Linked DNA regions of Rhinolophus ferrumequinum. The protein of the gene in region 1 purifies or fractionates together with the protein of each later gene. This does not show direct contact. Links are inferred from orthologs where the notes say so. Each region holds a gene or a part of one and is shown in the gene's direction. Other genes may lie near its edges. The genes, in order: GLI3 and BTRC.

The links.
Region 2: the proteins of GLI3 (region 1) and BTRC purify together in Homo sapiens (affinity purification with western blotting, with the first as the bait; 3 studies listed by BioGRID). This does not show direct contact. The link is inferred for Rhinolophus ferrumequinum from reciprocal best matches to the Homo sapiens genes GLI3 and BTRC.

The regions. Positions count from the first base shown.
Region 1 is NC_046303.1:55,777,425-55,786,176, reverse strand, and holds the start of GLI3 (transcriptional activator GLI3), read left to right. Parts: upstream 1-5,012; 5' UTR 5,013-5,075; intron 5,076-8,752. UniProt on the Homo sapiens protein: Has a dual function as a transcriptional activator and a repressor of the sonic hedgehog (Shh) pathway, and plays a role in limb development.
Region 2 is NC_046299.1:23,421,001-23,429,970, reverse strand, and holds the start of BTRC (F-box/WD repeat-containing protein 1A), read left to right. Parts: upstream 1-4,389; 5' UTR 4,390-4,524; coding exon 4,525-4,572; intron 4,573-4,888; exon of another isoform or gene 4,889-4,953; intron 4,954-8,970. UniProt on the Homo sapiens protein: Substrate recognition component of a SCF (SKP1-CUL1-F-box protein) E3 ubiquitin-protein ligase complex which mediates the ubiquitination and subsequent proteasomal degradation of target proteins. Recognizes and binds to phosphorylated target proteins.

The DNA.
Region 1 (8,752 bases):
TGAGAGACCCTTGGAAGGGCACCTGTGTGATGAACTTAAAAGCATTCTCCTCGCTGGCAACCAGCCAGTCAGCATGGGGAAGCTCAGGCCCAGCCCCTGCTCCACTGCAGGGAGTATGTCCTTCCCAGGCCATTTGGTGGCTGGGGATCTGCCTGCATCCCCCGGACTTTCCCTATATGCACACTGGCTAGTGGGTGCAGTGCACGCAGAACCAAGATGCCCAGGAAATGAGAGAGAGCAGCAGGAAACGTAAATGTGTCTAGAGTTGCCCTTAGCAACTCAAACCAGTGGCAGTGTAGGAATCAGAGGGAATCCAGAAGACAGCATTTTAGGAGAACAGGAGGTCATTGTAGGGAGATGGGGTGAGGGAGAGAGAGTGATGAGTTGGGTGACCCTGGGGTTTGGAACCTTGATTTTTGCTCTATCTCCTTTGTCAAGTTTCCTCTCTCTCGGTACTCACAGCAGTGAGATAACTCATAGTCAGGGCTGCCTGGCTTGGAGGGAGTTCGGCCTTCTCCAGCTGCTCCCACTCAGGGGTCAGGTCAGTTGAGGAAACATGCAGGAATGCAAGAAACCTTATTTTTGTTTTGGACGATAGTTCTCAAATGCAGCCCATACCATATTTCAATTCCCACCGTTTTTCAAAATGATGAGAATCCTTAGGGAACGACTGTCTTAACTGGCACCTACAAACTTCTGAAAGACATACATACACAGAGATGCTAAGGGTCCTAGTTTCAGCACTAATCTGCGTTCTCTGCTGTAATTCAGAAACATTTGAAATGTTGAGCAAGCTGGTTATGAAGTCTGCAAGGAATCTATGTATTTGCATGTCAGACTAAGGAGGCTCCTGGGAAATGCCTCACCATAAGTGCAAAGAGCATGCAGCAGAAAGGCTTACTCCAGTAGCAACCATTCTGTTAGGGCTGGTAGAGAACATTTGAATCCTTATAAGTGTTCACTACGTTAAGCTTGCAAGTTTGGGAACAATAGAGGATGGGTATCAATTCTTGAGTAAAGAAGCTCCTCAACTAATCAGCTATCTCCAGATGGAAAACTAGTAAGACACCTACACATAAGAAATGTGACTTGTAGGATGCACAAGTGATCTCAAATGGATTGAAGGCACCACCTCCCAAAAGATAACCCCATGATGGGAAAACAAAGCAAAGGTGACAGTCCTGCATTTACAGGAGGGAAGCAGCACAAAAGAGGAAGAAAACGGTGGCTATCATGTTTGGCTCTATAGAAGACTTGTTAATCGTGCACCTGCCAAGCAACTCTCCCTCTTGTCTGGTCAAGAGGAATATAGCATCCCCTAGGACGGGTAACGTTGCAAACAAATAACGCTGATTATGCAAAATGTAGCTGCTTCTGGCCACCTTCCTTGGTTGCATAAAGAAAGTTTGTCTGAAGTGTGAATGAAACGCAGCTGGAAGGTGGAAACTCAGCAGGCATTTGTTTGAGCCCCTGGATCCTGCCTTGCCTGCAGTCTGCCTATACACTTCTGGACTTCTCAGTCAGCAAAACACTCCTCCTCCCCCCTTTAAATTTAACTTGAGCCAATTTGAGTTGGAATTTTGTCATTTGCAGCTGGGAGTTTATCGGTACACATGAAATATCCCCTTGGGATTTTGCAATAATTAGTTGGGGGCTATTGTGCAGGGAGATGGAAGAGCTGCCGTGGTAAGTGAAGGCAAGAACGGTCATTATGTATAGCACACACAACCGGGCAAAAAAGTGCAGAGGAGCATGGGAAGTTTATTCTCAGCCCCATCCTTTGTCCTCTCAATTGCAGATCCTTCATTCTCCTTGTCTCTTTCAGTGTTGAATTGTTCAGGGTTGAATTGTGTCTCTACTCTCCCCCCAAAAAAGACATGCTGAAGTTCTAACTCCTGATTTAGAAACAGGGTTGTTGCTGACATACCTAGTTAAGATGAGGCCCTACTGGAGTAGACTGGGCTTCTAGGCCAATGTGACTGGTGCCCCTAGGAAGAGGAGAGACAAACGAAGAGAGAATGACTGTTTCCCAAGCTCAGTGACGATAGTTGCATAAGTTGGAGGGAAGTGGCTACCAGACACGAAACACCAAGGATTGACAGAAGTTAGGAAGAGGCAGGATCTTCCCCTAAAGGTTTCAGAGGGTGCGTGGTCCTGCTGAGACCTTGATTTTGGACTACTAGACTCCAGAACTGTGGGACAATAGATTTCTGTTGTTTTAAGCCACCTAGTTTGTGGCAGCCGTAGGAAATACAAATATCTTCACGTTTCTGACTTCATTCAATTTGGTGCCCCAAAAAAAAAAAATATCTGTCTTATAAGCTTAATCATTTTGAGGACTCATTATATAAAAATTTCCTAGGAGATTTGCATTTGAAAAGAGAACTGATGAGAGAGAGCAATAAATGACTCTATAATGGTGGAATTTTAGACATGGAGAAAGGGCAATCTCAGAGCCTTGTAGGTCTGTAAGTGCCCGTTTATCATTACAAGAGAGGTTCCAATATTGAGTTTCAGGGTGCCTTTTGGATTTTTAGAGATGTCTCAGGAGACCGCCACCCAACTGCAACCAGAGTAGTTCTCTTTTATGTTTTGGGGTTTCCATGTAAGATTTCATTTGGAAAAAGAGTTCTTGTGTCAAAATAGATTGAAAGTCATTGCATTATGTCACTATTTAACTCACACTAAGGCAAACCATATTTTTTGCCTTTGCCATTTCTGCAAAATGTACCCACTTACATACATGTTTACCACCAAAGCAGAGAGCTGTTAGTTCCCGCCAAGAATCTAAGGTGAGGAAATAGGGACACACAGCAGACACCACCATTATTCCTCTTTTGTTTTTAGCTATTCTGATGGACATATGGGGAAAGATTAGCTGCTTTTTCTTTACTCGTCTTTTTAAAACTGAGAAGCAAGATCTTCATGATCCAAAATCTGCTAGAAGACTGTTTTAAGTAAAAGTCAAAATATCGAGTTTATTCAAGTTGTTGATTTATTGGCTGTCTTTCTTTTTATTTATTTTTTGCCATTGGGTGAACAGAGGAGGCTATCAGGATGTATTCTTTGTATTCAGGTGACTGAGGCAGAAGCAGTACTTGAATACAAAAAAAAAAAAATTGTGACTGATGTTGGAGTTTACATAGGAAAGAGGGGCTTGCAATTCCCTGCAACTGCAAAAGTATAATTCTTACATATTTGTGTCTCTTTGTACTTTCACATGCATTATCTTATTGGAAACTCATATAAATCCTGGGAGGTATGTGGCCTGGTTTTCCTATTACCATCCCACAGATGGGATCTGAGCCTGTGGAGACTCACAGAATCCTTCAGGGCCTGAGATCAGTTAGTGAGGGGAAGCTGGGACAGCCACCCTTGTATCCTGAGACACTTGCTCTGTGCAGTAAGTGGTGGGTTTCCCTTCTTTCCTTCCTTCCTGCCTGCCTGCGTTTTAAGAGGGGTGAGGTAGAGAGAGGGAGAGAGAGAGGGAGAGAGAGAGAGAGAGAGAGAGACACGTCTTAAAATAAGTGCCTAAAAAAGACCTTCAGGCCTACTTTATCTCCACAACTTCTACCATGAATGCTTAAGTCAGAGGCGGCTTTTGTAGAGTCTTTAGAAAAGCAACAAGTCCCAGGAAACAAACAGTGAATACCATCATCAATTCCGTTAAAAAATTCTCCAGTTAAGCATTTGAATCTCAAAATGCTCTTCAAATCATAATAGCTAGTCATTCATCCACCCACTCTCTTCCTCAGTCAAGACACTCAGCGAGTCAACACAAGTGCACCCTGAGCTCCCAGGCGCTGCTGGCTGCGGACTGGTGGGTAGAGGCTCAGTTTACTTCAGGAGAATGAATTTTGGAATGTCACAGGGTTGTTTTCTTTCGTTCGTTTCCTTCCTTTGTTCCTCCTAATTTTTTTAAGTTCCAGGTCCAGGATGGGTACATTGAAAGGGAACAGATGTAGGCTGGCTGACTGAGGAAGGAGGGAAAATAATTTTTACTAGTATGGGCCACTGAAAATAAATCAGGGACAGAGACACTTTGTAGCTCAGGGAAAAGCACCACGTAGGAGTCCAGGCTCCAAGCCCGGGGTCTTTGTTTTTGTGTCCTTTATAAAGTGGCCCTTGGGGACAGCAGGCTGTGTAGTGGGAGTTCCCACTTCCCAGAATTGGCCCCAAGGGCAGATGAGACCGGCGGAGAGGAAAACCCTGAGCTTCCAAAAGCATCCTCTGGCGAGAGGGAGTTTCAGGGTTGGGTTATATGGTACAAGTAGAGGGGGAGCCAATGAGGGGTGTGCTCAGAGAGGCCTTAAAAGAAAAATGGGACCCAAACTGTGAGCGAGAGAAAAGGGAGCCGAGAGGCGGGGTGGGAGGCGATGCGCGCGGGCAGGATGCAGCCCCCGCGCGCGGGGAGCTGGGGTAGGGGCCGGCGAGGGCGTCCCAGCGGGGCTGCGAGAGCAAGCGGGGAGGGCAGCAGTGACATCACGCCCGGGCCCCCTTCCCTTCGCCGGGTGGGTGGGGCCTCGGCGCGCGGAGCGGGCGCGGGGTCAAGGAGGGGGAAGAGGAGGAGCAGGCATGAATGTGTCTGCGTGAGGACCCGAGAGAGGCGGAGGAGGTGGAGGAGGCGGAGGGGGGAGGGAGCGCGCGCGTGGCTCCCGGCGCCCCGGCTACCCCCAGTCCCCTACCTCGGCCCGCGCCGCGCCGCCTCCTGTGCAGCACCGCCCGCATCGCAGCTGGGACCCGCTCCGGGCACGGCGACCCGGCGCGGCCTGGAAGGAGCGAGAAAGCAAAAGTAAGGCAAGCTGTACTCCAAGTTTTCCCAACTTCGCCCCCTGCGGCGGCAGGCGTCCAGCTGCTCGGCGCGTCCCCACGGCGCTAGAGAGTGGCAGAAAGAAAAGGGACCGGGCGGGGGCGGGGGCGGAGGAAGAGAGCGCGCGGGTGAGGGGAGAGTCCGGCAACATCTGTTAAAACTTGGGGGAGGAGGAGCGCGGGCAGGAGGAGGAGGAAGAGGAGAGGAGGGAAAGAGGGAGCGCGAGGGAGGGACGCGTAGAACCGAGGGACAACTTTTCCACCGCGTGAGTAGCGCGGGCTGCGCTGGGCCGGGGTGGGGGGCTCTTCCACCCGCGCGGGTCTCCAGGCCGGGATGGGACCTTCTTCCAGAAAGTCGATTGGATGCCAGGAGGGGCTTACGGTGGGGGCTTTCTTTCTTTCTCTTTCCCCTCCCTCCCGCGGGTGAACCAAATCAGAACTGTCACTCAGGGCCTGTGAGTCAGAAGGGATCGGATTACAAGATCCCTGAAACCGATGCCGGAGCTGCACGAGCGGGCGGGAGCGGGCAGGGGCAGCGCCACCGGCGCGCTCGCACACTCGCCGTCGCGCATACTCGCCTCCCCGACTCGCCCTCCCTACGCGCCCCGCGGCCGCCCGCGCCGCACCATGCCCACGGCCGGCGCTCCTCGCGCCCAGCCCCTCCGATCGCCGTAGTCCGAGCCGCCTGCGTGTCGCGGAGCCGGGAGCCACCCGCCCGCATCCCAGACGTGGGTCTATGGGAAGTTTGGGGACTTGACAGCCGCCGCTGCCGCAGGTACGTCCCACCCAAAGTTCTTTGTTTCGTTGGCCGCGCGTCGGGCAGCCTGCTCCTGCGGTCGTGCGGGCGCCTCCAGGTCGAGAGGGGTTCCCCGATAGGGGGAACCGGAGAAAGTGAAAATGGCTGTCAAAAGCGCCCAGATTTAGAGAGCAACCCCGTAAGGCGTCAGATCAAGGCTTTCATTCGCTTACTCCTTGAAGCTCCCTTTCCAAGTGTCTGCCCCCTCGGCCATCGGGAGACGGGCTGGAAAATTGCACATCCTGGATGGGGACGAAGTTTGCAGCAGCGACGACGGCGCCCCTCGTACCCACTCCCCACCCAAAGGGTGAAGAGGAGCTAGGTTAGGTTAGACCTCTAAAGCTCGGGCGTCTGCCTGCGCACTGTTGCGTCCTCCTTCGGTTCCCCGCGCGGCGTACTGCGGGCGGGTCCGCGCGGGGTTCGCGGCTGCGGGGTTTCCTCTAGCTTGAGCTTCCCTTCGGAGGGCGGGGGAGCGGTGTGCGCCCAGGGACAGGCGCGCCTCCGCCGTAATAGAGGAAAAGTGAAAGTCGTACCATCTGTGTATGATTTGGAATTCTTTCATTTCTTTTTCTTTCCAGGGACAGCACACACACACACACACACACAAAGACATAACAGAAAACAAAAGAAATAAAAGCGTTAGAAGCTGCAGGGAGTGAATGCGGGAGTGTGGGTAACCGTGGCCCCTGCAATAATAATTTAAGAGGCCGAATTTTCACAGAGCAGAACTGTGTATGAATCACTCTGCAGGGGACAGTTACTTTGAGTTGCCGAGGGAAAATGGGAGGGAGGAGGTCGAGAGGGAGTAAATATTTACCCCAAAGTTGGAGACTTTGTGAAACGACTTTTAAGCAGATTGCCAGAGGCCAAAGCACCACTGCACACCCGGGCCTTTTATCCTTCCCAGAACTTTGTGCTCCTGTCCCTGATTGCACCTCCTTCAGGAGTTGCCACCCCTAGAGAGGCTGGACCCAGGCTTCCCTTGCTGACCCCGTGTAGAAAGAGGCTTAAGGAGGCAGCCACCTCGCACTCTTCTGCCCCCACTTCTCATGTCCCTGATGTGCGGTGCCGAAGAGATTCTGGCCTTGGGTGCAGTGCTCGTGGCCCACTGCCAGTTTATATGTACATGTATTTATGTAAAACATTTTCTCCCAGCTCCTTGCCAGCTGTTCCACATTTTCCAGCTGCCATTTCAGTTTGAAATGATGGACTGTCCGCATCTCCCAAGTAAAAGAGCCCTGTAGTCAGAGGTGTGGGGCCACAAAAAATAATTTTTCCTCCCATCTTCTGAGTTCTAGCTGGGCTAATAAATTAACATGAGAGAGATCAACAGGGAAGAGTGTCCAAAATTTATCACGGATGTTCATGCCGGGGTGCCATCAGAATATGAGGCCTGAGGATACATTGGGCTTTGAGGTTTCTATGCCATTCTGGACAAAGGAGAGGGAAGCAGGGGTCTGGGATTTCAAAGGGAACGTGGGCAGTTTACAGGTAGATGAGAAAGAGCAAACATGTGGTAAACAAACTCTTGCTGGGCCACCCAGAAACAATAGGACATAGAGAGAAGTCCAACAAACAGGCTTGGCTAGATTTCTCCCTCTCTGCCACATTGAGTTTAGAATCTGACGCTAAGGTGATGCTCCTATCCTTTAAGCAGGTTTTTCTGTCTGAATTCCTTTAGGCAGGCAAGGGGAGGGTTCTTTCTGAATCTTTTGTTTCGTAATAAATTACCATTAAAAGTCAATATCCCCAAAGGCGTATTTTGGGGTGGGAAAAATTTGGTCCCCCTCAAAGGTATGGAGGGCAGGCCGTTGTGCAAAGTCATGGGCAGGGCCATTAGTCTGACTGATAGTAGTTCTGAAAAAAAACACTTCTGCTCTCCTTTTCCTTTCCTCCTCCCCCCCAATTCTTTCCAGAGCACTTTTCTGGAAATTCACAATAAGTCGGCTTTTCCCCCCACATGTGATTTTGTACAGAATTTGGATGAGTCCTTTTTTTCTTGAAGATCCCTGAAATATGTGTATGCTGCTAGAAATAAATTAACTTTTAAAAAGAGTTTGAGTGTGTTGGGCATGGCTGGTGGGGTCGCCTCTGCCTTGGGCAGCTGAAATGATTTCATTTCAGTCTATTTAAGGTAGGAACTATTCATTCTTCCCGTTTTACGCTTTTTGTGTTGTTTGATGTCTTAGCGTATTATAGACTGAAATCTTCAAGAATTGGCCTAAAGTATTAATTTTGACTATTTATGTAATTGCTCTGTAATTTGAATAGGTGCCTTATTGATTGATTCTGGTAATTATTTCATTTAGGTTTTAAATTAAAAATTAATAATAGTCTGACAGTTTCTTAATTACATGTGTCAAGATTATTTTGAAGGAGGAAAATGCTATGTTTTAAAGTAGTGAAATATCCTCAAAATCTCCTCATTTTTCGAAAGCATAACAGTATTTCAGTTGAATATATTAAGGCAGTGGTGATAGGTCTTAACAATGTAAACTGTGTGAAGTATCTAAAGAATTTGTTTATGTTAGGAAATACTGGTCTTAACCTGGTACATAAACACTTTGGCCAGTTATAGTCAGACCTAAAACAAACATGAAATAACATTTAAATTAGTTGTAATAGCCAGCATACTTATAGAGAGAAGAGAATTTATTTTATGCTAAAAGCTATTTAATTAGAAACTCCCTGCCTAAGGGCAGATCCTTTCAAGATATGTAATTCTTAAAGTTAGCCTAGGGAAGCTTTGGTTTCGGATGCTTGAATGAGTCCAACTTGAGAGGTGTCTTATGAAGTACTTTAAAAGGTATAGATTATGTTATAATTAATAGGTTAGTAGGTCCAACTCGATGTCTACCTTTAACGTGTTTGTATTTCTTGATTGAACCCTGCTATCAACACGTTTTATTGTATGTCTGATTTGCAGAAAACTACACACACAAATGAGAAAATGAGTACTGATGAAAAATGGCTCTGTTGAGTTATTTCATTACTTATTTAATAAAAGAGTCATTAATTTATCATTTGATGCCCAAGCCTAAAGTTGAACTTTCCTTTGTTTCTAGGCTAGTTCTCTTAATTACCTGCATGCTATGCTGTAAGGGTTTCAGACTTCTGTGCATTGCTGGTTAGAAGTCCTTCCTTCTT
Region 2 (8,970 bases), on another chromosome or scaffold:
AAATGACTCTTACGTGCAATCAGAGTTGAGAACCCCAGCAGGTATAGGAGAGGGGAATGCCATGCAATGAGAAAAAAGTGCAGGCAGATGTGGAATATTTCTGACTCCAGTCTGCTATGTGTTATAAGCACACACTACAGAGATGGTGGGAGTTAGAAGAGCAGGAGGGCATGATTCTTGTGGATTGGGTGTTGCCAGAGAAGGTAAAATGTGTAAACTGGCTTAAAAAAAAAGCGAAAATCTCAATGTCAAGTGTGGTGGAGTAGTGTGGTGGAAGCATAGACTGTTGTGGTCTTTCTGTACTGCAGTTTGACATTACATAGTCCAACTAAATATCCTTAATAGTCTATGAACCAGCAAGTATGATTTTTCGGTAAATATTCTCAAAGATAGTGTTGCTCAGGGATCACGTAGGAGGTTGATCACTACAGCTTTATTGGGGGTGATTGGAGGCTTTGCTGGGAGAGTAGATAGGTAGAATGTGGGAGCTACACACCATCAGACTATTATTCAGCAGTTAGAAGCAACAGATTAGATGTACGTATAGCAACATGAATGGATCTTAAAATCATAGATACTGGGTGCAAAAGGTATGAAACATAGTAAGATATATAAAACAATATTACATTTGTGAATTGTAAATGTAGCACACCACCTCCAACAAAAAATGCAGCATACAAAACAATATTTATTTTGAAAGACCCATACAAATAAACATTGCCTGTGCGGGGAGGGCAGGCTGTAGTGCTAAAAGGCAATAGATAACTATTTTTCAAAAGTAAGATTTAAATCAGACCTTGAAAGATGGGTAGGAAAGAGGAGGAAAAGGAAGCCTTCTAGAATGGTAAAATGACTCCCATAAGTTAAGGCCAGGAGGCAGGAGTGTGCTAAGCACGTGGAGTAGGAGAACAGTCTATTTGGAGCAGAGGGTTATATTAAAACAAGTGGGAAGTAAGGCTAGAGAGGGAGGATTGGATAAGATTTGAAAGGTCTGGAAAGCTAGAAAAAGGAATTTAAGCAATGATAAAGTAGTTAAGAGAGCCATAAAAGGATTGATCAGGGAAGAAATGTGATGGAAGTGAAGTCAGATGAGGCGGATGGAGAGAGCCTGGAGTCAGAGAACTGGATGGGAAGTGAATAAATACTATAGTGAACTAAGAACAAAGATAAAACAGGTAGTCTGGAACAGGCTTGCATTGGAGGTGGAGGCTGAAAGAGACATTTTGATAGATTATTGGCTGAATACAGACACTAATAGACAAGGTTAAGCCAGAGTACCCTGTGGTCTTAAACAAGGAAATTAATGGAAGAAATTAAGTCCAGCAGTAGCCTGAGATTTCTCACACTGGAAATCCAGTTTTCCAGTAACGTGGAACTTTAAAGGTTCTAATGATTCAGTCTTCTCCTTGAACAAGCACCATAAGCCGGGCTCATAGGTACACCCATTTTAGAGATGGCAGAGATCTTTGTTTTCCAGATGACAAAAGAGAGGACCAGAGAGGTTCAGTTAATTGCACAAATACAACCAATTAACTGGAGAAAGGATGGGCTAGAACCAGGTCTCTTAACTATTAGTCCAATGAACTTTCCTAAACTTTGTTGGATACGAGAGGCTTGAAAATCAAGGCAATTCACATTTGGATTTCTGTTTGCCTGACCATGAGTGGTCAATTTTCAAGAAAAAGGACTTACCCTTTGTGTACCCAGCCCCTGCCAGCTTACTTTCAATCCATATGCATATGAACTGTCTAGCTGGCTGGGCTTCTAAACAAAAACTCCTTGTGTTTGTTTTACTAATCCTGACCTCTACATGACTGGACAAAGTGAGGACTGCCACTGACTGCCAGCCTCATCAGGCAATATTTTCATCCTCCTCTCTGGATAAAAAAGTAAAACAAATGACTTCTAAAAAGAATAAAACCTTAGAGTTTGAAAGATCTTAACCTCCCACCCAAACTGAACCCCCCTGACAGATGGTCATCCTGCCTCTATGTTTTCAGAAATAGGGCAGTCTATTCCTCTGTCAGGACAGCTCTGATTACTAGAAAGCTCTGAGTCTGAGTCCTATGTCACTGTAGTGTGAGTCAGTGAAAATAGCACAGGCCTTGGAGTCAAGCAGACTTGAGTTAGAATCCTAACTATGTAATTTGCTGCATGACTTGAGCAAGTTATTTATCTTCTACCAGTATCATTCACTTCATCTGTACATTAAGGATAATATCAGTTTTACAGAGTTACTATGAATATTAGAGATTATGAATGTAAAATGCCTACTACAGTGCCTGGCACAAAGAGCTAATAAAGTGATAGCTGTTGTTATCATCATCATAATTATTATCCCACCTATTGGTCCTAGTTTGCCTTATGGTGCTACATATACATGCCTTTCAATACTTTTGAATACTTAAATTTAGTTGTCATGTTATTCCTAAGTGTTCTTTTTTTCAGAGTAAGCATCCATCAGTATTTTCTCTTTTGGTTATCCTTCTCTTGGCTATACTCCTGCATCTGATGTTTGTAGAACATGGTGCCTGTAACTGAACAAAGTACTCCAGGTGTGATCTGAGTGCTTCAAAACAGAGTAAGACCATAAGCCTCTATTTCCCAGACACCACTCTTCAAGCTGCCTAGGACTCCTTTGGCTTCCCCCCCCCCTTCTTCCTCATCCCTCCCCACCCCCAGCCCCCTGACTCTAGTTCAAGCTGTTATTTTTCAGTCTAGCTGTGTAGGACACAGCTCCCTGGCCCATGCTGGTATTATGAGCCTTGCGTTCCCCCTGGCTGAGGCAGTCGGTCGCCTGTCGTTGGTGCGCTGCTCACAGCGGCTCACAGGCAGCTCTGGCCAGCTGCCCACTGCTCATGGCAGCCCACAGTAGCTGAGGGCAGCTCAGGATGGTTGCCGGCCACTCACATTGCCGGCCACTCTCCAAAGCACACGACAGCAGGTGGTAGCTCATGCCAACCTCCGGCTGCTCAGGGCAACCCAGCTCCAGGGAGAACTGTTGTTCACAATGCTATAGAGGGCGCAGCTCACTGGCCCAAGTGGGAATCAAACCAGCAACTTGGGCATTAGGAGCACTGGGCTTCAACCACCTGAGCCACCCGGCCGGCCCTCCTTTAGCTTTTTTGGTGACCATGTCACAGACTGTCTTAGTCCTATGAAAACCTCCAGGTATTTTTCATTTGAGTGAGTTTTAAGTCTTCCACATTTTTGCACTTGTGTAGAATTTGTTTTTAAAATTCAAGAGTAAACTTTTTATTGATTGAAAGCTTATTATGTATTAGGTATGGTGCTGAGTTCAATACATAAGGATGACTAGGACAGAATATCAACATATTAGAAATGCAAGCTCTACAAGACTGGGTCTATCATGCTCACTGGGTCTATCCAAGAATCTCCATTTCTTGGAACGATGTCTCCACATGGTTATGTGCTTACTGTTGTTGAATTAGCGAATGAATAGTTTATAAGGGAAGTTTTTCTTATAAGTGAAAAGGCATTTCCCCAATTCACTTATTTTATAAATTCAGATTATTATTATTATTTTTACAACCCTATCATTTTTAGACCAGTGTTTTTTCCATCTAGGGTAGACCCAGTTTCCAAAATGAACTTGTACTGTCCCTTTCAAGGCCAAACTAAATACTTATATGCTTTATTTGCTGGATGGCCATTATGTTCCACTATTGAAGGTCTTTGTAAGTACTTGTTTGACCCTTAATGCAGGGCTTACATCTCATGGTTAGCAGTAGCAGCTCAACTTTCTGAGTGCTAACCCCCTGAGAATTTCCAGAACCGAGTTCTATTGGGCCCTGCCTTGGTGTGGGGGAGAATAAGGTCCTCGGGAGAAGTGTTGCTTAGGAGGACCTTGAAATTCTGCATTCGTCTGTGTAAGGGGCGGCCAGATGCTTATAGGCCCAGCGCCTCTGGGTCGAAATCCATCCCGCAGAGGTCAAATATATGAAATTTAGGGGTGTCCAGTTCTCTAAAACCACAGTTAGGCAGGTCTTAGGAACTCTGTAGAGTCCTCACAGTGTTTCCCAGTATTAATGGGCTACAGCTGAGGCACTGGTCGCCATCTTGCTATGAAATGCCAGGCAAGCGGTCCCTGGCGTCTTTTGGTAACCACGGAGACACCCTTGCCCCTCCCGTTTTTCAGCCTGTCGAGGCTATAAACTACGATTCCCATCAGCTGATTTCCTCTACTAGAAGGATAGTTGTCTAGATTTGGCTTGTCAGTCACCGCGACCCTGCCGCAGTGAACCGCGGGAGTTGCAGTTCGCGGTGGGACCTCACTTTTTGCTGCGTAAAGCTCCAGAACTACAAATCCAGTGAGCCAGTGGGTTTACGCATGCGCACGAAATAGCCGGTCCTCCCTGGCCCCCCTGGCCCCCCTGCGGGTGCCTGAGAGGTAAGAGGGCGGAGGGAAGAAAGAGGAGGCGGGATCCGGGCGCTGCGTTGGCTGCGGCCTGGCACCAAGGGGGCGGCCCCGGCGGAGTGCAGACCCAGTGGCCCCCGGCGATTATGGACCCGGCCGAGGCGGTGCTGCAGGAAAAAGCGCTCAAGTTTATGGTGAGGAGAAGGTGCAGGCCGGGGAATGGTGTTGGCGGTGGCGTTGGCGGCATCGCTGAGGCTCGGGCCTGGACAGCTTGTCCGCCGGAGGAGGGGGCAGCGGGACTGTGGGCCGAGGCCGGCAGCGGGGGCTGCTGAAGGGGACGGGACAGGAGCTCCAGGGAGGCGGGAGGGGGTGGTGGAGAGCACCCGGGGTGGGGGCAGCAGCTCCGCCATCTTGTGGATGAGAGGCCAAGTGACAGCGGGAGCTTAATCGGGGAGGGGGCTCCGGGCGGCGCGCGGGGCCCTGGAGGGAAAGGGGCGTGGGGACAGTTACTGAAGTGCTCGAAGGGGAGACGCGGTGAGGCCGCTGGCAGGGCCTTTCCAGTGCCAGGGTCACGGGTAAGGCTTGGGAGAAGAGGTGCATTCAGGAGTGGGGAAGGGGAGCGCGGAATAGTGGGAGGAAAGAGATTGGGGGGAGGGGGACCGGCAGGGCTGGATGCAGATGGATCTGAGGGTGGAGGAAAGCCAGGGCTGGTGCGAGACTTGTAGTTTTATAAAATGAGGGCGTAGAAATAGCCTTTACCTTCAGGGTGCAATCCCAGCTTGGCCAAACTAATGTTGGCAAACTCTGGAAAGGAAGAGGTCTTAGGAAAATAAGAACTGGGGATGGGGATCTAGGGTTATGGTGACAGTCTCTGGGAAAGGAAGGGGGGTGTTGACTATGAGCCAGAATTACAGATGTCAGAAAAGGGGGTACACATTCTACTTTGAAAGGAGAGGCCAAATATTGTAGTAAGGATGAGGAGATGAAAAGCAAGAGGTTGATTGGTCAAGGAAACCTGGGTTACACGAGATTGGGGGCAAATTAATATTAATAGGGTTAAAACAAAACAAAAGTGCTAAATTGTAGAGATAGTAAAGTGGGGGCCAGGCGCTATATCACTTTCTGGGAAAGGAAAGGCGGTGGAGATTAGAATCACAAGACCTGTGAGTGATGAGATCAGTGGAGAAATTCAGGAGATAAAAGAGGGAATGTCAGTAATGGGAAATGGGAGATGTCACGATTGGTGGTTACTTATCAGTTTTAGGTTGAAGCACACATCAGGAGCTTGGATTGAATTTTGTGGGTGTGTTTAAATCCTTTGGAGCCCAGTTTTTAAACTTTGTGTCATGCTTTTTTTCTATGTTTATGTTTGGCAATTTTTTATAGTCTGATATTTGATGCTTTTAATCTGATGCTTCTTGTATATCCTAGGTGTAAAACCAGACTTTATGGTTACAGCTAAAGAATGATGGGATGCATAGACTTCTACCTTAACAGGTGGCCTTAGGGGCATTGATATTATTTGCAGTCAATACCTTTTCAGAAGTAATTGTAACCTGTCACTACAAATCTTACTTCTTAGTTGTTATTTTGTGTCTTTGCCTGAAAAACCAAAATAAATCTAAATAAACATGGACACTAACCTAATTCCATTTAGTCTTTAACCGGCCCTATTTACAAGAATACATTTTCAGAGACTGGTCAGATTTACTAAAACTTTATTTTGTGTTAGTGCTTTCGAAAACACCTAACTAAAGCTTGAGTGTATTATCAACAAAATTCCATGTTGGAAAAGGTTCTTGAGTTTGTACCCAATGTTGAAATTCTAAAATATTAAGACAAGACTTTGACATTTTTTGGACTTCAAAAGTAAGAGGAAGTTGCTTTATATCTATAGCCAGCTTCTATATTGAAGTCAGAAAAGTGGCAGATGCTTATTTTTATTTTCCTCCTTAGAGGTTGACTTAATCCTAATCTTGACACTTCTGTTAGTTTTATGGAATAGTGTGATTTACAGATCATAAAGAGACATTATGAGATCATCTATTCTCAATCAGACCTCAGTCTAGGAATATTCTCAACTACTTGATCCCTGCTTTGTACCAGTGAGTTGTATTTCGATAATGGTCAGATTCAGTTAAAGTGGATCTGGAGATGGCCATGTAGTAGTTTGCAGCTTTTAGGGCACCACGTGTTATTAAATGTTGAGTCAGTTTCCAGAGAGAGAAGCCAGTTTTTTCTTTAGTTACTTTTATTTTTGACCTTGCCTGCTATTGTGGCTGCTGTTTGAGAAAAGGCCAACTGAAAGAAGGTCACCAAGAATGTCACCTTAATAACTGAAGCAGAGAATGGAGAGTTAGAGATTTGGTATTCTTTTTCAGCTCAGTAACAGCCTTATTATGAATCTGAGTAAGTCTCAACTTGCCTTTGGTCCCATTTACCCTGCTTTGTAACATGTCTGTTTACTTGGAGTCAATTTTGAGATAGGAAGATATTTTATTTGTGCTTGCACCAAGTGATTAGTACACAATACACATGGAAGGGCTATGCTTTTAATCAAATTGATAATTATATAGAGTGTATGGCTTTGTTTTGGCCTTATCTTTCCCTCAGTTGTGAATTATGAATGACAGTTTTTGTGTGGATGCCCTGACTTCCATAGTTTAAGAAAATGCAGTTTGTTAAAAATACCAAGATGAAATGGATATTCCCTTTTACGTATTTTGCTCATTACCACATTAATGTAGTGCTTCAGTTAGGAATTTTGCAATAGAATCTTATTAATGAGACTGCTAATTCAGACTTGCCCATAATTCGCATGTGGTCTAGATTTAAAAGTTTATGCTTGGATACTTGTGAAAAGTAGTTTAACTTCTAGAAACAAATGATATTAAAGAAGTAGTTTACGTTAAATAACCTATATGCTAATATCTCTCATTCAGCTTTAGCAGGTCCTCAAGGATCTTTCCTAATACTTCCTTGGTCAACAAAATTATAATTCCTCAGAAAAGATAATTGGGAACTGGGAGAGGACCTGAGAAGAGAAATGAAAATAATTGAGGGAATGTAGGCACCATATAGGAGAGATATAGTTAAAAAAAACACAAAACTATATATATATATATATATATATATATATATATATATATATATATAAAAAAATGGAAAAGCAAGTTGAGGGATGAATTTTAAATTTATTTAAGAAAATGGACAGGGTAAACCAGTTCCAGAATGTTAGAACTGGGGAAACATTTGAAACTTGGATGAAATAATTTAGGGCATATAAAAGAGTTTTTTATACAGTTGATAGATAAGTGAAACTGTATAAAGATAACTTGCTGTATAACGAAGCACCCCAAAATTTAGTAGCTGAGAAAAACCCAGTTAATTATTTCTTTCAAATCTGTGGTTGACTGATGGGTTTTCTGCTTTCCTTGGTGTTGGCAGGGGCACCCGCAGGATTGGAATGTTCAAAATGGCCACACTCCCGGGGCTGGCGGCTGACTGAGTTCAGCTGGCTCTAAAGGCCTCCAGGCCTCCTTTTTGGGGCCTCCTCTCTCCACCCGGCCTTTGGATTTCCATAGAGCATGGTCCCGCGCTCTGAGGAGGAGCATTCAAGGAGATAGGAAATAGAAGGCAATGAGCCAGTTCTTTCAAGTCCTAGGTTTGAAAGTCTGAGAAGGTCGCTATTGGCCAAAGATAGTCAAGGGCCAGCCCTGCGTCAGAGGGAGGGGCAGTAATCTCCACCTGCAGACATGCACAGTGGCGTGCGTAACACAGGGGGACGTTGCTTGGGGGTGGGTATGCCCTTTTGAGACTGGCTACCATAGATGCTATTCTAGGTGGATGTCCAGGCTAAACATACAAATGGGATCAGCCATATTGTGGGTTTTAACACTAGGACTGCTTTAGAGGCATCTCTTTTCGGAGGTTAACTTCTCAAGGAACGAACATGCTCTCCTTCATGACTTGCCTTAATAATGTTACTCTACACATAATACTGGGTGAATTAATAATGATTCAGTAACTTTTCTTATTTGCTTGAGAAGCATTATATCTAAAAGCAAGAAATTACATTAAAAATAAATACTCAGATTTTTCAGTGTACGGGCTTTTAATTGGTAAGGTTGATTACCAGCTGGTTGGATGAACATTTGAAACCACTTCTTAAAGTTATCAGAGTTTCTCTGTATCCCTTACCTGTTCCCAATTTACATTAGCCTTCAGTTTCTTTTCGGGATACTTTTATACAGTATAGGTATTGGGCTATGAAATTACAAATTAGTGTTTTATATTGTATTCATTTTTTTGATTCATCTTTGTAATAGGTGCACCATAACAAATTACTGGAAGTGATTTATAGATGTGGAATAAAAATTCTGTTTGAATGGTTGTCAGAATTCTTTATTGCTATATTAGAAAATGAACTTTCAAGAGACCACTTGTTATTCTGTATTATTTGTATACTGTTTAAATCCTTAAAGAAAGGAAGCAGATAAGAATTTTTTTTCCTTGCTAAAGCGAGACAGAACATTATGTAAGATCTTCTATTTATTTAATTTTCTTTTTCACAGTTACTCTGACCCTCAGGA